Linked DNA regions of Oryzias latipes. The protein of the gene in region 1 purifies or fractionates together with the protein of each later gene. This does not show direct contact. Links are inferred from orthologs where the notes say so. Each region holds a gene or a part of one and is shown on either strand. Other genes may lie near its edges.

Region 1 (3,500 bases):
ACTGGAGGGGGGGAAAAAAACTGGGGGGGTTGATTTTTGTCACCCGTCTTAACTCTGTGCGCACTAAACTGTGTGATTGTAAAAAGGCCAGGCCTTCAAATGATGCTGTACACACGTGTTCACTGGAGGCCACACTACCGATGATATGGCAAAGTCAACAGAAGGACCTGGTCCAGCTCTTCTTTTTTTGTTGTTGTGTGATCTGGAGCTGCAGAGAGGGCGGGGAGGGGGGAGGGGGACGCCCAACATGCATGTCCCGGTCTACAAGATGAACTTCCCTAAGAAAAAACCGATGAAAATTGCTGCTATGACGACGAGGAGGGAGGGCAGGAAGGCGGTTGAGTTTGACATCATGTGGTCTGGGGGAGGCATTTTTCTCATCCTAACTCCGTCTTCCTGCAAGGAAACGAAAGTCGTTCAGTTTCACACGCATGACGGCACGTTCAATTCCCTCTGCCAACGCGCGGCTCTCAGTTCCAACCTTTATTTGTCGGTTCTCCTCGTTCAGCTTGCTGATCTCTGCTTGAAGCCTCCTGCACTTCTCCTGCATCTTCTTCAGCTCCGAATCCTCCACGGTCGGCTCGGCCTTCACCGGGACCGAATCCACCGCATTCTGCCAGACAAAGTACAGAAAGTTACCTCAGGAGGCTGCCTTGCTCATGGGTTTATCCAGCTGTGGCGTTCTTTGGCCGGACAGGCGGCGTGTGGAAACAAAACGTCTTCTTATGAGAGATCAAACTCGACTGAAGCTGTGATGTCGGCGCCATAACGGAGAGCTGGAGTGATGCTGGGGGGGTGTCCCATCATGGCAGACGGGTTCTGGGTGACGAATCTGACTAGGAGCGGTTCAAACCCCCCTTTTGGCAGTAATGAATGCTGCGTACACAGCGGGCATGTGTAGTAAAAAGGTTTTTTTTAAACTGGACAAAATAAAATGAAAGCTTACAGCTAATTTGTTTTAGATCAGATTTGTTTAATAAAACATACAGACTAACTTCAAAAGAATTACTGATTGAGGACTAAAACGGTAACATGTCTGAACTTAAGATACCCCTATATGGAAAACATAATGCATTATGGTCCATTGTATCTTGGAAGAAAAAAAAACACACAGAAGAAGAAAAAGGCAAAACAAGCAAGTCGTGTCTGACTTTAAAACTTGAAATTCTTTCACCATGACCCCTGCTGCTATAACCCCCCCCCCTCACAGGGGACAGACGCAGCGGCATCTTTGTCCTGCAGCCGTGGCGGGACAACAGGTTACGGAGTCCTGCTGAAAGCAGCCGCCACTCACACCCAATCCCCGCAGACCTGCTCTAAGAAGCCGTTGCAGAGCTCAAAGACACTGCGGTTCAGAAAATGTAGCAACAAAGCGAATGACTGTCTGATGGCGTGGAAACCCACAACACACGGTCGTCTCAGAGTGATCCGACATTCTGAGGTTTGAGCTTTAAAATGATGAAGGTCTGCTCCAACAGTGACCCCCTCCATCCTCAGGACGGGTTTACTTGGCCCCCCGACCTCAACAGCCGCTGTCTATCACTGATAATACCAGGACAAACCTCTTTCTAGAGCAGTGTTTTTCAACCAGTGTGCCGCGGCACACTAGTGTGCCGTGGGAAATTGCCCTCATTAACTGATCTAAAAACATTTTCCATCTCCAGGATTTCAGCTCTGTGTTCATCCAAACAGGCCCTGATAAAACACTGAGGAGTTAGGAATATGAAAGATCGTAAAATACTTTTTCTTTGCGTTTATTTTATTTTATTAAAGACATTTTGATAAGAATGACGATACAGTACCGCGATTCAGCTGCACCTTCGGCTGTATTTTGGAAACGTCCCGTCCCTTTAACTGTCTCCACCAATCATTCTTGAAGGCTTAATCACATGTCATCAGTCTGACCAATCAGAAGTGGTTAAAATCTTCACTTCCTTTCCCGGTTTAGCTCGTAAAGTCGCTCAGTTCTAAAAAAAAAATACCAGCTAAAGCTCGTCTTTAGCGGTGTAGCTTTCCACAGAATCCGGTATCAGACTGGAACAAGTGAACAAAACAATGAAGCTCAGAGACGCGATCTCCGGCCGTTTTATGCACTACATCTCCCATGATGCATTGGGTTGTGAGAGTGACAGCGCATACGGAGATCTGTTGTTAAACGTCTTGAAACTAACGAACACACATCAAACTGTTTTTAAATCTTCTAACTTATCTTTTATTGCATCTTTTAGAAAAAAACAGCTGCAGTTTCCAGCTTTTTCTGCAACAATTATCTCAAAAATGCATGTGAGACTGTGGAGGGGCTGTAGATCAATACAGACTATGAGTTTCTCCTTTTTTTTTAATTTTTTGATGCTGGTGTGCCGCGGGATTTTTTTTAAGGTTAAAGTGTGCCGTGGCTCAGAAAAGGTTGAAAAACACTGTTCTAGAGCAACCCAATACATAATAAGTGTAGTCTTCTTTATAAAATACCCATCATTAGATCTGTTTGTAGTACATTTTCCTCACATTTCTATTACAAACGGAAATGCTTTGGTCAGTTTTTCCCCTTTGTGCTTCACTTTGAGTGAAACGTCCCGTTTCCTCTGCAAACGTTCGATGCCCTAAATGCAAAGACAGAAGCTTCCACTTATAAATAATATGCTAATTTAACGAGCCACAGAGCGTCTTACCACCAGTTTGTCATTTTCAGAAGGCAGCTCAAAGACGCATCTCAGCTTGGAATCCATGAGGTCATCAGGTTTAGATTCTTTCCACTGGTGAAAATGAAAAATGAGAATGTTATTCATCAAATCAAACTGCTAGCAGCTGGATCCCATCTGCACACAGACACACACACACACACACATGCACACTCCCTTACTGATACACACCACATGATGAGTTTGCCACTAAAAAAAAAAGAACCAGTGTACTTTTGTAACAGAATCAAGTTAAGAAATGTGTAATAAACACATTTCATCCTTATATTTGTCTTTTTTTTTCTTTACATTTTTGTTATTTTATCATTCTACACTTATTCAGCCTCGCCTTATGAGAGCATAAGACACCAAATTCCTTGTATATGCGCTGTACTTGGTCAATAAAGCAAATTAACTCAATCTCTTAAAAGTACTTTTCCAAACACAGAACTTTATAATGGTCCATTTGGATGCAGACATTATTCAGAACCAGTCTGACCTTTGTTCTGAACACAGACTTCATGAATTGCTAGCACATGATAACAACTGTGCATCATGGAGAGGTTGGTGCAGCCTTTGCTGCCCTCTGGTGGACAGACTCACACAGTTTGTTGCCACTTTACAGAACAAACCGCCAAATGAGGAAAAACGGCTCGAGTTTAAACAATTTGTCCTGAGTTTAGGCAGAAAAGAAGAAACATGAAATCGTTTAATGCCCAGTTTCTGATCGCCGTGCGGTTCAGGCAGGACTGACCTGCATAACTGAAAGCTGAACGGCCTCTCTGATGTTTAAGAGTGCAGCAAAACATCAATCATGAGACC
Region 2 (3,328 bases), on another chromosome or scaffold:
ATGCCGCTTTGCTCTCTGTCCGTTTGGATTTTTCTTAATGTTTTCTTTTGCACTGTGTCTGAAGGTAAGAGGAGACTTACCACTTTGTAGCTGTTCTGTAAAGAAGCAGTGTAACCTCGCCACCTTTGTCTGTGTTTCTGCCCTCAGCGGGTTGGTTCACCTTGAGTATGATGGGGGTATTGCTTCCGGCTGCTCTGGGTTACCTGCAGGACAGGTGTGGCAACAAACGGCCAGAGGATGAGCTCCAAAGGAGGCGCATTTATGCTGTGCAGAGCAGAGACTTGCAGACGGTGCAGATGACCAAGCAGGAGGCCATGATGGAGGTCAAAGAGCTGTAAGAGGAGAGCTGGTTCCTGAACGCGTACACCTGGATTCTGGTTTTATTCTGACCAGATCAATCTGTGACATGGTTATACCAGCATGAAAAACCACTGCAGCCAGCTGTGCATATTAACATCTGGGCACATACTGCTAGTTTCTGCCAGTCTTTCAGTCCCTAACTGTACATGTGATCTCTGGTTTAGGTTGAAGCACCTGGACGACTCGTTGTCATCAGCATGTCAGTCTGCAGAATCGGTTTACAAGCTTCTGTACTGGGACGATTACTCCACCTCATCAAGGTACACACACATACACACACTCTGCTATGAGACTAGAGGGAAGAGAAAACGTTGAAAGTACTGGAACATCTGTTATAATACTACCAAAACATGTTTGTATCTGCAACATAAGGAGCTCCAGTAAGAGTTGGAAGCGTTTTGACTTTTGCTGGAACTCTTTAGGTTCTACGGTGCATTGTTGATGCTGGTATGTCTGCTGTACGTGGCCCCCGTGGGCTGGGTGTTGGCTGCGCTCACCAGTGCCTCCTTCCTGTGGAACAGAGACTTTTGCAGAGGTCAGTCGTCTCAGCCTTAAGAATGCTGAAGAGCAGCTCTCAGTAGCACCAGCGCTCATTTTGTCCCGTGCTTTCTTCTTCCAGTTTTATTGGACCTCCGTAGGCTTTTCCTGCGGGGTCAGAACTCATCCTCAGAAGGTGTGTGCGAAGATCGGGAGTTGGGTAGTCTGATGGAAAGAACCCCCACACCAACCAGTCTGGAGGTAGGCTGTACTTGTGATATCTGTTTGATTCTGGAATTGTTTTCTTTGAGGCTGGACGTTGGCATAGTGGTTAGCGCTCTTGCCTCACAGCAAAAACGCCCCAGAAACACAGAAACAGAACATCAATGGGGAACCTTTCTGTGTGGAGTTTGCATGTTCCCCTCATGCATGCGTGGGTTTTTTCCACAGACTCCGGCTTCCTCCCACTGTCCAAAAACATGCTTCATAGGTTACTCTAGTTACTCTAAATTGTCCATAGGTGTGAGTGTGAGAGTAAATGGGTGTGTGATTGTGGCCCAGCGACCGACTGGCGACCTGTCCAGGGTGTCCCCTGCCTTCGCCCATGGGTGGCTGGGAAGTTCTCTGGCAGCCCAGTGACCCTGAAAGGGCCAAAACAGGTTTAGAAGATGAATGAATGAATGAATAGTTGAGTTTGTTGTGTTTTTGTCTGCTGCAGTCAGACAGAAATCTGTAGCATTAAAAATTGACTGAGCTTTTATTGCTAAACCTGCGTTTTAACTAGGGGTGTGACCATAACCACATCACTGCACTTTTTTTTTTAAGTTTTTTTTTTTTAAGTTCTGCATATGGTGCGTGATTGGAACAATGATAAACACATAAAACACATTCATTTTTGCTGATAATTTACTTTTTCTGCTAGGCCTGTGTTCAGACTTGTTCTCTCTGCACCGCGTCTCTCACCTCTTGGGCTGCGCGCAGCTGTCACTGCCTCTGCGCTGCACGCTCCCTCTACTCACACACACACACACGCAGTTTCAGCAGCACACACACATCCTCATTCTACAACAAGAGTTTCTGTCTCGCGAGGAAATACGACAAATTTGCTGCGTTCTAATTATTCATTTCCATTGTATTCATTTCCATTACAAGCTGCGTGCGTTCTTGAGTGCCGCCCGCCAGAGGATTTGGTGTTGGGGGGGGTTATTACTTTTCTCCTTCACTCTGTAACACCAAACATGAACTTGCACTGTTAGAGTGCATGAATATCACTACATGTTTTGTTTGGGAACTATTTTGTGCAGCGCAACGTTACGTGTCTGTATAACAAAGTCGAAGCCTCCTGCCCCGCGTTCTTCATGGGTGTAAGGCTTCATGTCTACCGGAAAGGTGACAAAGTGTCTGCAGTCTCGTTTATTACTGAGCAATATATAAGATTGTGAGAAGAATACTGCGTTGTAATTGTATTCATTTGCGACATGGCCGTTGGGGGATTTTGTGTGTGTGTGTGGGGGGGGGGGGGGTGATCTGGATGATGCTGCTTTCAGCGAACCTCTGTCTCTCTGTAGCCCATGGGATGACAAAAAAAAGAAAATGAGGGGACCATTTGTTCTGGTTTTAATACAAACTTTAAAAAAAAAAAGCATTGTGAAGTTCAGGAGGAGCACAAACGGCAACTTTGAGCTTCTCCTCCATGAAAACAAGTTTTTTTTTTCAACACAGCACCACCAAAACGGAGTTCCTGATTGGTTAGCAAAAATTATCGCTGAAGATCAGATTTTTTCAACTTTTTGCTGGCTGTTTAAATTGCTCCACAGAATCATTTGCTGTGTCTTTACAGTAACCTAAGATTAAAAACTGTCCTGCTCCCCACTGTGAAAACAGCATGCTCTGTGTTAGTGAGACCCACATGTCACTGACAAATCACCTTTTTTATTTCTTTAAGTGGAGAAGGTTTTCCTCCTGAAGACACATTTTTGCGCCTTTGTGTGACCCTATAATCTTTAAAGGTTGTCTTTCTTCATGTGTTAACAGGACCTAACTCCAGGCAGTGTGGAGGAAGCAGAGGAGGCAGAGCCAGATGAGGAATTTAAGGACCCTATTGAGGTAATCTTTAATCTGCCTGCAAGCTGAAAGCAAATGTTTGAAGTTTCTGTGACTCCTGTAGGTTCCACACCTGAGCACAGGTTACTGTTAGGAGCCGAGCTCCCTGCTGCACCGCTGTTCTTCTTTTCTTTAACTGCAGCTCTTATTTAAATTAGCGTGACTGTGCAGATTGGTGATAAATCTCCCATGACCTTCTGTTGGAGTCAGGTTGTCTTCATGCTTTCTTTTCTATTTTCTGCTGCAACAGGAAAACTCAGTTTTGCTTCAGGTGAGTGACACCCCCCTGTGTAATTAGGAAGCAGGTGCATGTCATCAGTTGTGTAAAAATATGTACATTTCTGTGGATTATAAAAATTTCTGTCAGAAGATTCTCTTCTTCCCATAA
Region 3 (3,500 bases), on another chromosome or scaffold:
GTAGAATGAACATAAGTCCTTCATTTTCTTGTGAATATTCAATTCTATTTGAATTTTAGTTGCCCAACGCTGAATTGTGTACCTTAAAGATTGTTGTTTTGCCTAAAATTTCTACAGAACAGGTTTTTTTTTTTTTCTGGTTTTAGGGGGAAACGCATGATAAAGTGTTAGCTGAGAAGCTGGAGTCGCTGCTGCATAGGGCGTACCACCTACAGGAGGATTTCGGCAGCGGCCTCCCTGCAGACAGTGTGCTGGCAGACTTCGGTGAGACTCAATTTGAAAATGCGATTGTAGAAGATTGTCTTTTTTTTTACCTTATTAAAAATAACTCAAACAAAAAAGTTAATATTATTGATAAAGTCAACGACTGTTGTCTCATTCGAGGATCACAAAAGCTGTGTCCAAATTCCCACCCTAACTCCTAACTACTAAAAAACTATGTAGTGCCCTGGATTTTGAAAGCAATTTGGATACCATGCTCACTACTTTTTTTTTTTTTTCTTTAAACGGCGAATATGACGTGATTGATTTTATGAAGTTAAACTCTGATTGGTGTGAGCGTTTTGCGACGGTCATTTATGAATCCACTGGGTTCTAAAGATGATAACGTTTATATTTTATTAAAAAAAATACATTTAAATTATTTATTTTTTGGCAGAAATTGTTCAAACGCAATGCATTGTGGTCTATATTTGCGGATCTAGTGAGGATCAATGCACAGACCTCTGGGAAATTTCTAGGCTACTCGATTAGGGAATTGTAGATCATCACTACTAAATGGCGAACGCACTATAATGCAGCATTTAGTGAGTAGGGAAGGAATTCAGACACAGCTGTGTTTTTTCTTAGCGAGTGAAGGAACTCTTATCCTGCCTCAAGTGGAGAGTTTGTACAGACTGCAAGATGACGACGCCACCACCATTAGCTCTGATGACTCCTTTTTCTCAGCGGCAGAGGTGATTTATTTGCTCTTAAGATGGTCAGAAAATAGTAATGGTACACCAAGACTTGCCATTCTGTATATTTGCACTGCTGGATATTGAAGTCTGCTGCACTCCTCTAAAATCAATGTTTTTCTATGCAGATCTTTGATAAAATGACTCTAGAGGAGCTCTACCAGCCAATAAGGCCGGCAGCTCTTTATGAAGAAGCCTTAACTCTGGTCCGCGAAGGCAAAGTCCCCTTTAGATCCATGAGGTGATTATGATACTGATTGCAGTTTTGGTGCTTAAAGTAGCTGAATTTCATGTGCTTATATAGTGTGTTTGATTTTAATAATGTATTTTTTTTTTCAAATTTGAGGCCACTGCCTCTAAGGGGTCAAATATGTTCTTATATTTTTTTCTTGATTAGGTTTAGTCTCTCAAACTCTTTTTCTCTTTTACAGAACTGAATTGCTTGAATGTTACGGTGACCAAGACTTCCTCGCCAAGCTCCACTGTGTGAGACAAGCATTCCAGGTCTGTTCTTTGTGTAAAAAGAAAAAACATCTCTTTAAATGTGTGTGAGTGATTTGCAGAAGGTTTGAAACCCAAATTACCGTACAAGGAATTTTTTTATTTTTACTAATCTTTATCGTGATGCTTTCTTTTTTCTCCTTCACAGTAACGTAAATGTTAACAGCTTTTCTCTTAAGGCCAAAAACAGATGGTTGTTTGGCAGAACTTAAGAGTTTGCTGATTCAAATCTCAGTTTGCAGCTTTGTGCTCAGGCAAAAAAGCTCCAAGAAAGGCGACCTTTTAACATGCTGTCATTCAGTATAATGAAAGTTATTGTTTCTTAGCTACATTTAATCCTGTCTTTTGCATCCTTTTCTCTGAGGTAATCTATATTTATGTCCTCCCTCATTACATCCATGCATCTGCTCTTTGGGCCGGCTCTAACCTGTAGACATGTCCAAACCGCCTCAGTCTGGTTCATCTCCAAACATTCAACTATTTTTAAAACAGAATAAATAAAACAAATTGCTTTTTCTTTCTTTTTAGGTTCTATTGTTAGACGAAAGTCACCGCACATTTTTCATGGAGTTGGGGAAACAGATGATTGTCGGGTTAATGGTAAAGGCAAACAAGGTAAGTCGAGGGAATGGGGATGTGCAGTTTTTACTTTATTTAGATAGAGGGGCATGCTCTTTAAGCATGAACTAATTTATATGTTTATTCTTAATCAGAGCCCCAAAGCTTTTCTGGAAAGCTATGAAGACATGCTGCTTTACACTCAGAGGGAGGAAACGTGGCCCGTTACAAAGATGGAACTGGACGGTCGAGGGGTGAGTTCTGTTCAAGTCCGATGCTTTCTTTACTGACCTTTAACAAAGGAAGTAACATCTGGAATCGTTGGGAAATTCGGTTTCATCTTCTCTGACCTGAAAAGACGTGCTGCTCAAACGGTGACATTTATACAAATGATGGGCAAAGGTCTGGCTTTTGGAGTTCCACTCTCACACACTCAAATGTATGCTGTCGTGCAGAAACGATGCTCTTCATTGTTGAATAATCTTTAATAAGATCCTTTACTTTGCTGGAGCCTCAGTTACTTCACTTGTTTACAGTAGAATCGGGTGAAAATGTTAGTGTGGGAGTGACTGAAACCGACTGTATTTAGTTTAGTTTGAAAGATAACGAGTTTAACCAACTGTCTGCAACACATTGAGAGGCCGATTATCAAACCAGTGTTGTGTTTAATGATAAAAACCTGCTTGAAAGGCAGCAAATGTCAGAAATTTTTGATATTTTAAAGACCCACTCTGATTAAAAATTGTGTTTTTGTCTTTTAAGCATGTTTTTGTGGCATTTTCCAGATGTTGGAGGACATATATTAAGGAAATTAAGCTCAAAATTGCATTTCTGAGTATTTCTAAATTCAAATTGTTGTGAATCAGGGGGGAAAAAAAGAAAGTATTTGTGACGGAGACAGGCTTCCAGCTCCACTCCATTTTGATGCATCCATTTGCAGACACATGGATCCATGTGTCATTTTAGGTCCTAGAAAATAACAGTTTAAAAAAATAATAATTCTAAAATCGGCAAAATCTTAATTAAAAGAACACGCTTTTAAAATAGATGAAAAGATGATCAGAGTGGATCTTTAAGTCTGATAAAACTGAGATGCTCCTGTGTTCTCTGCAGGTGGTGTGCATGAACTTTTTCGACATAGTGTTAGATTTCATCTTAATGGATGCATTCGAAGACCTCGAGAGCCCTCCCTCCTCTGTCGTGGCTGTACTGAGGAACCGCTGGCTCTCCGACAGCTTCAAAGAGACGGTAAGTTGATGAAACATCAACACAAGTCAGAAATCTTTTTCTTTCTTTTTTTATTATTAGTACTTATTAACAGGGATGTCCTAGGTCAGTGTTTTTCAACCTTTTTTGAGCCAAGGCACACTTTGTCCTTGACAAAAATCCCACGACACACCAGCATCCAAAAATTAAAGAAAGGAGAAATTTAGTCTGTATTGATGTACAGTCCCTCCACAATCTCACATGCATTTTTGTGAGAAT
Region 4 (3,500 bases), on another chromosome or scaffold:
ACCATATAATCAACATTACATCCCTCAGTTATGATGAGGAAATTTACATCCGCGATTCCACATTTCCCATGAGTCTTAGGGGCTAAAGGCGGGGCCAATGCCCGGCTCGCCATACTGTTGTACGTGTTTAAGAATGAGTATCAGCAGTGCATGGAGGGGTGAACGGGTACAGCTCTCCTTCCGCTTGTGTCGCGCAGCGTTATGGGAGTAACAGGACTGGTTAAAAAACACACTAGTAAAATAAAGCAGCGACGACTGAAAAGCGCGCGCCTCAGCGCGATACGCGCGCCTCAGTGCGGCGCGTGCGTCAGAATTCAGAAGCCTCTGCGCTCCGCTCCCGCCCCGCGCGCTCCTTGTCTCCCCTTCCTATCTACTCCGACACCTCTGGCCAGGGCGGCTTCAAGGAGGAGCACTTCGTCCCCGTTGCGCCGGTGTAAGGAGCAAATAGTTTCTGTGCAAAGCAATCGGACTTAATACTGTACGTTTTGTGTATGAGGGGCGGATGCGTTGTTACGTGTGGGAGCCATCAGACTGCCATCGGCCCCGCAGCTCAATCAGCAGGAGAGTTTTTCAAAGCAAAATTCCGCTTTTACGGTTTCCTTAGAAACCGTAAATGGAGTGTAAATTCACTCCATGCGCTGTTCTCTCCGTCATGCAGCAAACCGGCTTTTCCAAACCCGTTGGTGACGGTGGACTTTTTTACGCTGCTTTTAACGATTGCTTTTAACTTGAAAGCTTCATCATAATGTAGCGGCGATCACGTGCACGTTGGGTCTAATGGCCCCAAAGGATTCTGGGATGCGGCCGGGCATGCGTGTTTCGTTTTGTTGAACCATGACTGAAGTGTCTAAGACCTGAAGTCAAGTCCATGCTGTTTGGCTGCTAAGAGGTGTGTTGAATATAAATGCCTTGTGCTAGAATTCAAACTATTCACTGAGTTCGAAAGTACGTACATGGCGGCCGCCAATTAAATCCATAAATTAGCCGCGTCACTGAATAAGCCGCAAGGCTGTAAGCGCAGGAAAAAAGTAGCGGCTTATAGTCCGGAAATTACGGTATATCGTCATCGCAATATTAATCACCAATATCGCGAGTTTTCCTCATATGGTGCAGCCCTAATTTTTCCTATTCAGGTAGAAAATTCCCAAACTAGAAAGTAGCTTCACTCACCTGGCTTCAGAGTCTGAGTGTAGCCCAGACCCACGAGGCTGGAATTGTTCACCTTGGCCTGAGAAAGAACAGAGTTTAGCAACGTTAGAGCGGCTGAACGGGCTTTTATAGACACTTCAGTCTCACAGCCAGAGAGTCCTGGTTTGAATCCCAACTGGGTCCTTTCTATGTGAAGTTAGCATGTTCTCCTCGTGGGGGGGGAGTGTTTCTGGCTTAATGGCTTCCTCCCACAGTTCAAAAGCATTCTTTGTATGTTAATTGGTGCTTAGCTGTGAATGCGAGTGTGTAGTTGTTTGACTCTTTGTGGACTATGGACTGGCAAACTGTCCAGGGTGCAACACAACTGTAAATAAAGTAATAGGGATAGGCTCCAGCATCCCCATGACCCAAAACAGGAGGTAGGAGGTGTAGAAGATGGATGACTGCATTCATGAACAATTGAATACATTTTACTTACAAGTCAAGTAGGTTTAAAGTTAAGTGGGTCAAACAGAGATAAAAAAACTAAACATTTTTCCCTCTTCCTCTACTGACTTTCTGCTCAAACTTTTCAGAATAAAAAAAAAACAAAAAAAACAAAAATCCATCCATCCATCTTCTTCTGCTCATCCAGGACCGGGTCACGGGGGCAGCTGTCTAAGCCAGGGGTGTCAAACTCATTTTGGTTCGGGGGCCACATTCAACCTCTCTGATCTCAAGTGGGCCAGACCAGCAACATAAAAGCAAAATAACAGTTTTGTTTTTTTTTGTCATTTGGAAAAAATGCCTCAACCAACATGGTAGTCTATTATTTATTAATACACATTCATTCACAGAGGCCAAAAGGTCAATAGCTTTTAGGGAACAAGACTTCTGCAGCCTCCAGCATTTTTCTATAAGTTCACTATCTGAAAATGGTTTGGATGTTTGCTCCAACTTGTCTGCAATCAGGTGTCTGTCACTGCTCCATCACTGACGTCACGCTGCAGTAAATGCAGACGGTTGGTCTTCAGTCCAGCTAATAGTTGGTAAATCTTCTCTTTTCTTAACTGCAAATGGTGAAAATTTTCTTTATGGTGAGTCTCATATGTGCTGAATGTTGTATTCTTTGAGCCCTGTGACCTGTTGATGACGTAACAAGCAGGCAGGTTTTGCATTCGGCTCCATGAACAAATAATTCCTGGAAAGCTCAGCACTCCACTTCAACCTTTCTTTCTTTTTGACAACATTTTGGTCATTATTGTGTCACTACTGATCATTCTCATAGCAATGTAACAGCGGTGAGAATCTAAGAGAACCAAAATACATCTTACCCACACCCAAAGTTGTTAGGATTCACTTTTGAGAAATGCTGTTTCACCTGCTTTGCTTTTGCTTTTCTCCCCCTAGTGGCGGAATTGCGCACTTCGGTTATTTCTTTAAAAAATCATAAATGGGCAAAGGAATGGACTAGAATTTTAAGAATTTTTTTGTTTTTGTTTTTAAAACATCCTAAATTCTTTTACTTTTCATGACTGGGCCAGATTGAACCATCTAGTATATGTTTGACACCCCTGGTCTAAGCAAAGATGCCCAGACTTTACATTTGTCCGTGGAGAGGGAAGATGAAAACGTTATTAAAAAATACATTTAAATACAATTTTTTTTGTGCAACAATTGTTTATATGCAATGCATTGTGGTCTGTATATTTGCAAATCTAGTTAGCATCGATTCACACTGGTTTTCCGCAGAGACTTTCTAGGGCACTCGATTTTGGAACTGTAGATTCGTAAAAGCACCACAAAATGGTGAACAACCAAATAGAGCACTATGTAGTGAGTAGTGAAGGAATTCAGACATACTCAGTTACAAGACTTTTGGGTAAACAGGTTCAGATTATAAACAACCAATCAGAGTAATTAGCTCTGAGGGGGATTTAACCGAGGCTCAAGTTGGAGATAATTCAGTTGAAGCCCGTCTGTTCCAGACAGACTCTTCCTTTTGAACCTTTTGGCAGAAGTTCCCCTGCATTCCTATCTTGAAGACCTAACATACCATGCCAAGTTGGTCAGCAGAGGCAGTAGAGTGTGTAACTAAGACAACAACATTGTGAAGACCCCCATAGAAAAGGCTACTCACAGAAAAAGATGCGTCTGGATCAATCTGATACTTGGCAGCAATGCCAAAGCGAGTGTTGCTGTTTCCAGCTGTCCAGGACAGGTTGACGGCTGTCTCCAGCTGCTCGTTCACCTTCTGGTAGATGGATCCACCAAACTCTGTGCCATCATTTCTGAGGAGACATAGAAATATGTTGAACAGTGAGAAGGAAAAGGCATTTTTCCCTGTGGGGAACACTAGATGCTATAAACGA
Region 5 (3,500 bases), on another chromosome or scaffold:
TATAATATCGGCGATGTTCTTTTCCAGAAAAAGTTCCATGTTTTTAATTGCAGCATTTAACAGTTTTGTTTTACTTCTGTGTCACTTTTATCTCTCAGGTTTTGATGGGCTCTTGACTCCTGCAGAGAAAGCCAAACTCTACACTGCCATTGGCTACAGTGAAACTGCTGCTAATCCTAATTTGCCTAAGAAAGTAGGTGTCTTCTGGTCAACTAGCAGTAAATGAAATTTTTTTAAACAAAATATAAAAGCTTCTTGAAGTTAATGGACTTTACATTGATAATTCTCTAATGTAAATGATTTTTAGTTTGAGGACATGAAGGTCAATTTCCACATGGAAAGACTGTGTGTATCCATTAAAGATGAGAAAGACAAAAATGAGGTCATGAGGCTGACTGTCGGGGAGCTCAAGTCTACACTCACTCAAAGACCTGGAGCACAAGCCATCAAGTTAGTTTAATCTCTGTTTGACCGTTTTCTTTTGGAATGATGATGATTCTGCTGCAGACACAGAGTATCTGAGTTGACTTTACATGGTATAGAAATGACCAATGGCTACTTTATGTGCCCTTATCTGGCATTGACACTTACAGATTTCTCCTTCATGTCCTTGTAGGATAACAGCTGAGCTTAGTTTGTTTGAAGTCACTGGTCTGGCCAGTAACAGGCCTGCACCAACGCTCCTTTCATCAAGGAGGGCAGCCACAAAAACAGGGACACCTCTTCTCATCATTCTGTTTGAAACCAATCCACTGGATGAAAGTGCTGACCAGAGATTTCATGTCTCATCTCAGCCACTGGAAATCATCTATGATGCTGTAAGTGGTATCCTCCATTGCTAAATGTGTGTAAATGAATCCCTCATAGGGATCTAAATGAAAACTTTGTTGGTTTGTGCAGTTAACTGTAAACAGTGTGTCAGAATTCTTCAGACTTCCAGATGACGTGCAGCTTAATGAGTTTACCAAGGCAACACTAATGAAACTGGAGCAATTTAAAGATCGCACAGCCACAGGTGAGTGGAATCTACAACTTTTATCCGATCTAATGTTCATTATATTGGCTTTCAATCCTTCCACCATCTACACCTTTTCTATCCCATTTTGGATCTGTGGTAGATTAAAGCCAACACTCTGTTTCTAAATTTGAGGCAAACTACAAGAGAAAAAAAGAGTAATAGGAAGAAACAAATTTTTACCTTTTTTGGTTATGTTTACTGAGATTGTTAAACCTAATATTGATCAAACCAAATTAAAAGAAAGCTAACTATGTCCCAACATGTACATCTTTAGAATTCAAAGCAGGTGTATATGGGTTTACTTTTTAGTTCATGTTATATGTTTCCTCCTGCAGGTAAAAACAATTAATTCTTATTTTGTTCTGCAGGTTTACTGTATGTGATTGAAACACAGAAAGTTCTCGACCTGAAGGTAAACCTCATGGCCTCCTACGTCATCGTTCCACAGAGTGGCTTTTACGATGGAACACAGAACATTTTGCTGTTGGATCTTGGTCATTTTAAGGTTCGAAAGCTTGAAGTTCAATAAATCGCATCCAGTTGGAACAAGAATTACTTTTTATATACTGAGTGATGTTTTAATATTTCTGCATTTGTTTCCACCTCTTCAGATGGCCAGTCAGAGCAAAGAGAATTTGCCACAGCTGACCCCATGTCCCAGTAACATTGAAGCGATCATGTCCAGAGCATACGACACCTTTGATGTGCAGCTCAGCTCCCTCCAATTCCTGTACAGCAAACCAGGTGAGCAATACGTAAGATGAGAACAGTCATGTATGTTAATATATTTTATAAGCTCATTTTCTTAATATAACCACTTAATACCGCATTTTCTTCTGAAAATGGAATACACTTTTCCCTAACCCAAATGGCAAACATCTCAAATTGACAAATTTACATGTGAATTCTCTCGCAGAAGGTATCTCCGCTTCTTCAACTGTAGACATGCCACCCACATAAACTTTTTATAAAAAGGACACATGAGATCTGATGCCCTGAACTCGGCTCTTTTATGCTCGCTTGCTTTCCACAACTGGGAAAAAGGAGCTAAACTTAAAGTTAAAGACTAAACACCGACATACATTCGTGAACGGATCTTTCATCTATGGTTACAGGCATTGTACTTTAACATCATTGATCACTTAAGTTGTGGTGAAGCTCAGGCAGAAATTGTGGTAATGTTGCTCACAAACAACTTTTCAATTTCCCAGTCATTGAAAAGAAAAATTAACAACTTGCAGCCATCCCAAATGAAAAATGACTTTTTTTCAGTTTTCTACCAAGAAATAAGTCGTCATCTTGAAAAAATGAGCTGAAATAAATCATGAGCAGACATGGCTGTTCTTATCTTTAGTAGTACTAAAATAGAGGAGCTCAAATGTAAATGAGATGCTAAAAAAATAAATTCTCTTTTTCTAAATTTGTTTTCAAAATAATTTTCTCCATCAGCAAAGATGGCTGATGGAGAAAACTTGAAGGTTTTTGGTGATCCAGGTGGAGTCGCCTGAGACCTTATTGATGGAATTGGACTTTTTTTCGTAGAGTGGGAATTTTTTTTTTTCATTCAAGGAACTTCTTTAGCCTGCTGAAAAGAGATCTTAATATGTCATCTCAGATGTATAATCCAAAAATATTTTGAATTTGTCTTTATGAAAAGTTTATCCTTAGGATAATGAAACTGTTATCCATAGGTGGGGACTGGAAAAAGGCTCGTAAACAAAAGCAATCACCGCTCCACATCCTGGAGCCCGTCGACGTGAATGTGGATTTCAGCAGAGCGATGGTTGTCAAAGATTCCCGCATGCCAAAGTCAGTTTTCATTTATACTGGTTAAAAAAATAGGTATTTAATTTAGCATTAAAGAACTCATGCAAGTACTATTAAAAATCACGCTATATATAGCTTTTTAGAGCACAACACTGTTAAGTATGTAAGACACAGAGCATGTTACCTGTTGTTTCTTTGTACCTAATTGGGAGCAATTTGACCCAAAGCCATAACCTAATCTCAGATCACTTTTCCACAATGTTTAATATTTTTAACACTCCCTGTAGAACAAGCTTTGTAATCGGATGTTTCTAAATAGGCTAAGCAGATATTTTGTTATTAAAGTTATTTTTAGTCATTAAAAATGTAAGTCACTACTATTATTTTGCAGAGAGAAACTTTTATCATATATTAGTCTTCTCATGCCATGATGAATCATCTTTTGCCACTTTTTTTTTTTTTGTAGATATAAAGTACTTGGAGAACTTCCTCTGCTGTCCCTCAGAATTTCTGATATTAAACTTCGAAATGTTCTGGAGCTGGTTGATAGTATCCCACTGCCTGAGAGCAAACCCTCTGCTCACAACACTGCTCCATCTTCCACTCAAAAGGTAAGACCTGCTTTGTCTCAAAACAGAAAATCACTAAAGTTCTCTGAATTTGACCTCACAGTTGCTAAATTTAAATTGTGTTAAATCCAACTTTGTCATTTGTT
Region 6 (3,500 bases), on another chromosome or scaffold:
GTAAATATGTTTTTGCGTTTTTGTTACAGTGACAACAAACGTGTAAAATTGAAACACAATTTTTGCATCAGTCTGTGTGAAGGAAAACCTAAAAATATTGGAACAATTGTTTGTTTAAATCATATTTTATATATAATGTTTTAATGTGAAATATAGACATACATCATATTTCTATGATAAAGCTCCATTTCGTTTATTTACTTGGACCAACCTTTCTCAGATTATTGGTTGCAAACTTGAGATATTTACTTTACTAGAAACTATTGTCTTGTTGTGTAACGTCTCTCTGTTTCAACGTGAGCGTGAACTTTTCTCATAAAAAAAATCCTCATTTCAGCTTAATTCTCCTGTTTCCTGATCAAATTTTTCAATCTTTTTGTTTAGTTTCCAGGTTGAGGGCGATGTAAAAGAAGAGATCCTCCAGCCTCCTGAGCCTCACCCAGTCCCCCCGATCCTCACCCCGTCTCCTCCGTCAGCTTTCCCCACGGTCACCAACGTACGTCAGGACAATGATCGCTACCACCCTAAACCGGTCATGCATGTCCTACAGTCCAACGTCACACAGGTGAGGTGGATTTTTGAAGTTCGACCTTTTATCATTTAATATGTTAACACTTTGGTTGAACTAAAACCAGAATCTGAGGATTTATTTCAATGGTCTGCAGAGACTTTGCTGCTCTTGCATCATAAAGTGCAAATAATATGAAGGTTGCAAATGCTGCAAATCTCCAACAGGTATAAGAGAAACTTTGCTGAAAATATCTTCATGGAATCATAAATTAGCATTAGGCTAATATTAATTATTATCCTCGCACAAAACCAAGCACTTCTTTTAAAGAATTGGGGGTTTCTGGGGGATTTCAAGTAAGTTTTAATGTTTTACTCAAGTTTAAGCAACGACTTTAGATGCTTTTTGCGTTAGAATTTAGAAAATAATAATTACCTGGTTATAAATGATACATAAAAGTTATGTTAATAAGATGTATATTTTTGGAAATCTTTGTTACCATATAATCTACATTTTACGTCACAAATTGTGCCTGTTTATGGGATCATTTGCAAAATAGCAGTCAAAAATGTCAAAGATTAGCTCAATTTGGGGTTATAACAAATATCTGAATACTCAGATATTCATGATCTGTTCCGGAAAGTACAAGTAGGATTATTTGCGATGTCAGAGATTGTTGAACTATCCAAACAACACAAGGACGAAGGCAAATGATGTTGTGAAGATTCTGGCTGAAGATGGTATGAATGTTTCATTATAAACAGTGAAATGAGTACTGTACAGACACGGGGTGACAGGCTACTCTGCCGGGAAGAAGCCATTACTCAAAAAAAACACAGAAAAGCAAATAAAGACTTTCATTTTTGGAGACACGTCCTGTGGTCTGACGAAACTAAAATTGGACTGTTTGGCCACAATGACCATCGCTATGTTTGGAGGAAAAAGAGAGAAGCTTGCAGGCCTCAGAACACCATCCCAAGTGTGAAACATGGGGGTGGTAGCATCATGTTGTGGGTTTGTGTTGCTGCTGGATAGACTGGTGCACTTCCCAAAATAGATGTGGAAATATTGAAGCAGCATCTGAAGACATGAGCCGGAAAGTTGAAGCTGGGCCGCAAACGGATCTTCCCTATGGACAACGACCCGAAACATACCGCCAAAATGGTTACAAAGTGGCTGAAGGATAACAAAGTCAATGTTTTGGCCTGGCCATCACAGAGCCCGGATCTTATTCCTATTAAACATTTATGATCAGAGCTGAAAAGGCGTGTACATCCAAGGCGACCTACAGTCACACCAGTTCTGTCAGGAGGAAAGGGCCAAAAATTTCTACCGAATCTTGTGGAAAGAAATCCAAGACATTTGACCCAAACACTGCAGTTTAAAGGCAATATTACCAAATACTTAATAAATGAATGTAAACTTTGATAAAAGTAATTAAAACTTGTCTGAAAAAAAACCCTAGTGCCATAATTCTGAAATTCAGCAAATGGAAATAATTTTGTTAATTGTAACTGACCCAAAACAGGAAATGTTTACTTTGATTTCATGTCTGATGGTGAGAAAAAAAAAGGATATGTGTGTTTATATGTGGTGTATGTAAACTTCTGGTTTCTACTGTACATATAGCAACTATTCAGACAGAAAGATTAAAAAGTAAGAACCATGGTTGGATTTGTGAATTATAGATCCTTGAATCAAATCAGATCGCCATAAAGTAACAATCCATGGCTCTAGCACAAGTGTTCTTTTATGGTTGCAAAAACTGTTTTTTTTATTATTTTTTAATGTTTTTTTTTGCAGAATAAAGACAAAGATGGGCTTCAGAACAAATCTGACCCAGTCAAACAGACCAGTCCCTCAGAGCAGAAAGATGTATTAAGCCGAAACCAACAAACTCAGGTCTCAAATGTAGACCTCAATGACAACTACAACAACAAGTTCTCCTCCACGTCTACAAAGCCAGAATTTGGTCAAAGCCAGACTCAGGCGCCGTCCTCACCCCTCTCCCCGGTCATTGAATGTCCCGGCATTCCTCGGATCGAGAGGAAGCTCAGCATTGAGATTAAAAAGGTGCCGCTGCAGGAAGGACCTCGGAGCTTTGACACGTCTTCTTCTGTCGGAGGAGCAGGCGGACAGGGAGCCAGCTCCTGCAGCAGCGGCTGCATGCTGCAAAGAGGCCAGGCCTTCAAGTCTCGCTCCACTCAGTCCCTACTGACGTCGAGCTCCTCCCTGTCGGAGGATTCGGGCACAGAAGGAGGAGCGCTTGGATGTTTGGAGAGTCACACCGAGGGAAGCGCTTTACCCAGGCCAAACCACCTCCCTGTGAAGAGCGGAGATAAGGTGGAGCCGCGCGAATGCAGCAGAGCGGACGTGAAAACCGGACACGCGTCGTGGACGGAGCCCTGCAACAGCCCCGAGAAACTATTCCCTAAAACCTCTTCTTCCTCTTCCTCTTCAGACCGAGTTGCTCCCTCTTCGTCCTCCTCCTCCCACCTCTCCTCTTCCTCTTCCTCCTCTTCTTCGTCCACCCCTGTTAGGACTGCCATAAGTTTCACCAACCCCTTACATTCGGATAACTCGGAGGAGGATGGGAACGAAGTGATGTCCTGTGAAAAGGAGGCTCTTCATACAAGCGTATCCATGGTGACCACCGTGGTGTCCTCGTCGCTTCTTCAACCAGTCAGAAAGGCGTTGCCTGTCTCTATCGTGGGCCACAGCATTTCATCGCCCACTGCAGCCACTGCAAGTATGTCAAAATGTCACTTTCAGGGAAAGCTAAAACGTTTACTGCCGGTCATTTTTAGGGCAAATGTTTTTTATTTCAATTAAGTTTTAGTTTTAGTTAAGGCACGGAGATGACTTTGTTTTATCATTGCTATAGAAGCACATGGTAGGGCTATTTCCTTAAATCTTAAGCTATCAGCACCCTCATGTCAGAGCACTTAAGGAAAAGGGAAAAAAAAGGCATTTTAACATTTTCTGTCAGAAA
Region 7 (4,046 bases), on another chromosome or scaffold:
TGGGGGGATGCTCAGAACTTCCAGGTGGTGGTGGGGTGCTTGTCTGGGGCTGGGGGGAGGGGGCTCTCCAGTGTGTGGAGTCCAATGCTGGGTCCACTGATGTGCAGAGAGGGCTATTCTTCTGGCTGGGCTGGAGCTTGCATTCTCCGTGCCCCCCTGCTCTTTGGCGTTGGGGACCCCTGTGGCGGTCCTGTGGCCCCTGTGGGGACCCCCCTGGTCGAGGGTGGTTTACTGGATCTGGATCTGCTATGTGTCTGGTGAGCCCTGGCTGCCACTGTTTCTGCAGTAGGGGTCTTGGTGTGGGGGTAGCCGGGTGCTCCACTCTTTTAGCATTCCATCATCCACCACCGTAGAACAAAAACACTCACCTGAGCACAGGTGTCAGCTCACGTTTGCACCTTTGTAAATGTGTTTTTTTATACTATGATGGGTTCCAGTAGTACAAACTACATCTAGTTTTTAAATATATGCAGAAATGTTGCTAAAAACGCGAGGACTTCTGTGAATAATGTTTCTATGTAGGGTAGTGGAAGGACTTCTGCTTGAACAATCGAGACCCAGAAGAGGAAAAAAAAAAGGCTCAAAGCCATTAAATGATCAGGAGGAGATTGTCTATGTAAGTGTACTACAGAGTAAACTTAGTCTGTACTTAAAGTTAGGCAGTATTCTTGAAGTTTACTTTTTAAATTATGGAAAATAAAAATGTTCCAATTTAGAAATATTTCGTTAGTATACTTCCTACATACCAGATGCAAGTACTGTAGTCTACTTACTATATTCAATCACTGTGTACTTAGTCAAATAAACTTCAGGTGTACGACTTTTGGTAAAGTGTATATCTGCAAACATTTTACAATCTCTGATGATTTTTTTCTTTTTTGATTTTATTGCATAGTAATGTATTTGCGTCCTTCATTTAAACTTGTCCTGTCCGACAGCTGAGCAAGCAGATCAGAGCTGAAGGCTCTGCATTAATTATTTATCATGGATCTGGATCCTTCTGTGAAGAATTGAAGGGAAATAAAACATTTGAACGCATTTTAATGTCAAAAAGCTTTGCATGCAGCAAACTCCAAAGTGTTGATGGAGCGACCTCAGCTGAGAGAAAAACACCACTGGAACATATTAAGTGTAGAAGAATTACGATCACATCTGATTTCAAATGAAAAAAGTTTAACTCAGCTTTTTTTGCTGATAAAAACAAGAGGCTCCTGCGATGCTTTTATTTTGAAATTCCAAATGGATCCCTGACCCGGAAACACAACAGCAGCAGTGTTCCGATGCTAACGATGTGTCATCAACACAACAGGCGAGAGTAAACCCCTGTCCTGGTCGCTGAAGGAGCTGCTCGACGGGACTTGGACGTTTGTCGTCGGGAATCACAAAGTTCACGCGCCGCCGGACGTGACCGGAAGTCTTCTGCCGCGCCTTTAGCAGGAACTAAGGCTAACTGTCCGACCCCTCGTCTGCTGGATTCCCGACGGGATCGGCCGGGCGGCAGGGATGTCTTGCAGCTTGCTGGAGTTTGGTCGGCTCCAAGAGCTCAGAACCGTTCGGGACTTTTTGTTCCAGGGTCAGAAACCCGATGCGGCGGAGGAGCGGAACCAAGCAGGTGAAGTGTTTGCCTCCCGCCGCACATTTCTAGCCGGCAGGTTACATATAATGTGGCCATGATGATGACGGGCATTTTTTTGTGAAACAGACTCCTCACATTCATGTTTCCGGTTTCCCAGTAAAGTTATTGTGAGAGATGCAGCTTGGATGTCATATCTGGACCATGAACGATCATAACTAGTAGTTTTTCATTACATTGTGTTTATGTATTTAGTTAGCTGAAGTCACTGACTCAGTGGCAAGGCTCTGAGAGTGGACGAAGTCCTCCCTGAGTACCTCAAGTGTCTGGATGCTGGGAGTGTCTTGGCTGACACGTCTCTCTGCAGCATCGCGTGGCATTTGGGAACTGTACCACTGGACTGGTTTTCCTCTCGGACATTCATTCATACTGTGTGATGGTAACTACTGATGTAGCCACAGCTGCCCTGGGGCAGACTGACGGGGGTGTGGCTGCCAGTTTGCGCTTACGGCCCCTCTGACCATCACCTGGACATTCATGCATGCACATTCACACACCAGGGAGGGTGAAGGGTCTTGCCCAAGGACACAGTGGCAGTTAACTGAGGGGGACGGGGTTTAAACCACTGACCCTTCCATCTCCGTCTGACCTCCTCAACCACCTAAGCCACTGCCGCCCCAGAACACTCAACACTAAGGTTGTGTCTGAATGCCTTCACTATATAGTGCGTTCGCTGTTTTGTAGTGCTGTCCGAATCTACAATTCCAAAATTCAGTGCCCTAGAAATTTCCCAGAAGTCTCTGCGGAAAACCAGTGTGCATTGATGCTCACTAGATTGGCGAATATAGACCACAATGCGTTGTGTCTGAACTATTTTTGCTTTCAAAAATTGTATTTTTCAAATAAACCATCAACGTTTTTATCTCCAGAACTCAGTGGATTCATAAATAATCGTCACAAAACGTTCAAATAAATTAGACTTTCACTTCACTAAAATTCAGAGCATTAGATAGTCCCACACTAAATAGTTTTTAGTAGTTAGGGGTTAGGATGGGAATTCGGACACAGCTTAAGTCACTTCCTTTCTGTTTATGTCAGTAGTATCTTTCCCTTCTGTTTATGACAGAGAAATAAACAGACAAAACCTCTAAGCTCTATGTAGACATCCTCTTCCTGACGTTTGTTGGAATCTTCTCCAGATAATGAACTTTCCTGGGACACCTCAGATTGGGAATCAGCATGGGACACTGAGAATAATAAAGTGCAGGAAGGTGCTTCTTCCACACAGGTCTGGCCTTTTGCTTTATTCTATTATTAATGTTTTAGGATTTGCTATGGTGACGCACAGAGGTGAAGCTTGTCTCTGCTCTGCAGGACTGTGCAGCACCAAGTGGACCCTGGCTCCATGACTGCATCGTTTCCCTCTCTCCCTGCTCTGACCTGCTGGTGGTGGCCCGGGAACAGAAGGCGGTTTTCCTCTCGGGTCAGACCTTACACACAGTCTGCCTGACTCTTAGCAGTAGTTTTTATTTGAAAGGTGTCTCTGTGTTTGTCTTTGCAGCCAAGTGGCGTACAGATGAGAGTGGCAGAGAGGAGATGACCCTGGGGCTTTCTTGGAGTGGAACGCTCAGCACTGAGGAGGGGTCCGATTGTTTATGTTCTTAGTAGTTTAGCTTCTCCATCATGTCAAAGACCAACCCAAGCTTTAGTTTGGCTCTCAGTTGAAGCGGCTCTTTGACTGATGGACTCTGTTATGTACTGTAGTCCTGTTCTAATCTCACTGTATTTACAAAATAAGCAAAGCTACGATTAAGGAGGTAAAGAGATTTTTACATTATTTTAACTTAAAAAGAGATTAAACTTATGCCTGTTGTCCTCTTGTTCTACAGAGTTGATATCTTTAAAAGGCATTAAGGGTTTTCTAAATTATTATTTGTCATTACTTAATCTCCCTCCTTAACCACATTCTCTAATTATTATTCACTTTGTGTTCCTACCTGCAGCAGAAATTTATTGGATATGAAATGAAAAACAGAAATATTGGGCGTGCAAAATGATGCAGTCCCAGTTATTTTACATCTCAAGTTTTCTTTTATCTTTATGTTTGTATTCATTAGTTTATTAAACTAGTTTTTAACAATTTTATCGTGTTTATCTTTTATTGTACAGTGGCATTTGTGTTAAAGTGCTTTATAAATAAAGATGCTGATGAAGTTAAAACGGGTTTTTCTCTCCAGAGAGTGTGTGAGCAGTGCAATAGCAATTCCGCTGGCAAGCCAGAAGAGGTCAGAGCAAATATGTCGACTGTTGACATAAAAAGTGTGTATTTGTGTGTACTTACCTTGTTGTTGTTGTGTGTAGAAGCTCCACTGGGCGGCCGGACTGGACCTGTGTTGTAGTCGGCTTCACTTCTGGTTATGTTCGCTTTTACACAGAGGTACCTGTTGGACTTAGGCTGGTTTTCTGGCTGCAT

What was found.
Region 2: the proteins of vapa (region 1) and zfyve27 purify together in Homo sapiens (co-immunoprecipitation; 3 studies listed by BioGRID and IntAct, counting the BioPlex papers as one, with this or other methods). This does not show direct contact. The link is inferred for Oryzias latipes from reciprocal best matches to the Homo sapiens genes VAPA and ZFYVE27.
Region 3: the proteins of vapa (region 1) and miga2 purify together in Homo sapiens (co-immunoprecipitation; 3 studies listed by BioGRID and IntAct, counting the BioPlex papers as one, with this or other methods). This does not show direct contact. The link is inferred for Oryzias latipes from reciprocal best matches to the Homo sapiens genes VAPA and MIGA2.
Region 4: the proteins of vapa (region 1) and vdac1 fractionate together in Homo sapiens (co-fractionation; 3 studies listed by BioGRID and IntAct, with this or other methods). This does not show direct contact. The link is inferred for Oryzias latipes from reciprocal best matches to the Homo sapiens genes VAPA and VDAC1.
Region 5: the proteins of vapa (region 1) and vps13a purify together in Homo sapiens (co-immunoprecipitation; 3 studies listed by BioGRID and IntAct, counting the BioPlex papers as one, with this or other methods). This does not show direct contact. The link is inferred for Oryzias latipes from reciprocal best matches to the Homo sapiens genes VAPA and VPS13A.
Region 6: the proteins of vapa (region 1) and tyrosine-protein phosphatase non-receptor type 12 purify together in Homo sapiens (affinity purification with mass spectrometry; 3 studies listed by BioGRID and IntAct, counting the BioPlex papers as one, with this or other methods). This does not show direct contact. The link is inferred for Oryzias latipes from reciprocal best matches to the Homo sapiens genes VAPA and PTPN12.
Region 7: the proteins of vapa (region 1) and rab3gap2 purify together in Homo sapiens (affinity purification with mass spectrometry; 3 studies listed by BioGRID and IntAct, with this or other methods). This does not show direct contact. The link is inferred for Oryzias latipes from reciprocal best matches to the Homo sapiens genes VAPA and RAB3GAP2.

Annotation. Positions count from the first base shown.
Region 1 is NC_019875.2:4,839,524-4,843,023, reverse strand, and holds part of vapa (vesicle-associated membrane protein-associated protein A), read right to left. Parts: intron 2,754-3,500; coding exon 2,670-2,753; intron 614-2,669; coding exon 482-613; intron 397-481; coding exon 262-396; 3' UTR 1-261. UniProt on the Homo sapiens protein: Endoplasmic reticulum (ER)-anchored protein that mediates the formation of contact sites between the ER and endosomes via interaction with FFAT motif-containing proteins such as STARD3 or WDR44.
Region 2 is NC_019859.2:28,350,273-28,353,600, reverse strand, and holds part of zfyve27 (protrudin), read left to right. Parts: coding exon 1-64; intron 65-147; coding exon 148-334; intron 335-524; coding exon 525-620; intron 621-782; coding exon 783-895; intron 896-979; coding exon 980-1,098; intron 1,099-2,871; coding exon 2,872-2,943; intron 2,944-3,190; coding exon 3,191-3,211; intron 3,212-3,328. UniProt on the Homo sapiens protein: Key regulator of RAB11-dependent vesicular trafficking during neurite extension through polarized membrane transport. Promotes axonal elongation and contributes to the establishment of neuronal cell polarity.
Region 3 is NC_019870.2:7,796,342-7,799,841, forward strand, and holds part of miga2 (mitoguardin 2), read left to right. Parts: intron 1-146; coding exon 147-264; intron 265-849; coding exon 850-956; intron 957-1,084; coding exon 1,085-1,197; intron 1,198-1,387; coding exon 1,388-1,460; intron 1,461-1,985; coding exon 1,986-2,072; intron 2,073-2,170; coding exon 2,171-2,269; intron 2,270-3,128; coding exon 3,129-3,263; intron 3,264-3,500. UniProt on the Homo sapiens protein: Regulator of mitochondrial fusion: acts by forming homo- and heterodimers at the mitochondrial outer membrane and facilitating the formation of PLD6/MitoPLD dimers. May act by regulating phospholipid metabolism via PLD6/MitoPLD.
Region 4 is NC_019872.2:4,165,968-4,169,467, reverse strand, and holds part of vdac1 (voltage-dependent anion-selective channel protein 1), read right to left. Parts: intron 3,420-3,500; coding exon 3,269-3,419; intron 1,229-3,268; coding exon 1,171-1,228; intron 1-1,170. UniProt on the Homo sapiens protein: Non-selective voltage-gated ion channel that mediates the transport of anions and cations through the mitochondrion outer membrane and plasma membrane.
Region 5 is NC_019867.2:11,849,652-11,853,151, reverse strand, and holds part of vps13a (vacuolar protein sorting-associated protein 13A), read left to right. Parts: intron 1-98; coding exon 99-193; intron 194-307; coding exon 308-450; intron 451-616; coding exon 617-818; intron 819-900; coding exon 901-1,015; intron 1,016-1,386; coding exon 1,387-1,523; intron 1,524-1,629; coding exon 1,630-1,762; intron 1,763-2,709; coding exon 2,710-2,827; intron 2,828-3,251; coding exon 3,252-3,396; intron 3,397-3,500. UniProt on the Homo sapiens protein: Mediates the transfer of lipids between membranes at organelle contact sites. Binds phospholipids. Required for the formation or stabilization of ER-mitochondria contact sites which enable transfer of lipids between the ER and mitochondria.
Region 6 is NC_019881.2:13,867,876-13,871,375, forward strand, and holds part of tyrosine-protein phosphatase non-receptor type 12, read left to right. Parts: intron 1-384; coding exon 385-565; intron 566-2,311; coding exon 2,312-3,257; intron 3,258-3,500. UniProt on the Homo sapiens protein: Dephosphorylates a range of proteins, and thereby regulates cellular signaling cascades. Dephosphorylates cellular tyrosine kinases, such as ERBB2 and PTK2B/PYK2, and thereby regulates signaling via ERBB2 and PTK2B/PYK2.
Region 7 is NC_019880.2:20,252,583-20,256,628, forward strand, and holds the start of rab3gap2 (rab3 GTPase-activating protein non-catalytic subunit), read left to right. Parts: upstream 1-1,246; 5' UTR 1,247-1,503; coding exon 1,504-1,612; intron 1,613-2,772; coding exon 2,773-2,861; intron 2,862-2,947; coding exon 2,948-3,056; intron 3,057-3,134; coding exon 3,135-3,216; intron 3,217-3,810; coding exon 3,811-3,858; intron 3,859-3,934; coding exon 3,935-4,010; intron 4,011-4,046. UniProt on the Homo sapiens protein: Regulatory subunit of the Rab3 GTPase-activating (Rab3GAP) complex composed of RAB3GAP1 and RAB3GAP2, which has GTPase-activating protein (GAP) activity towards various Rab3 subfamily members (RAB3A, RAB3B, RAB3C and RAB3D), RAB5A and RAB43, and guanine nucleotide exchange factor (GEF) activity towards RAB18.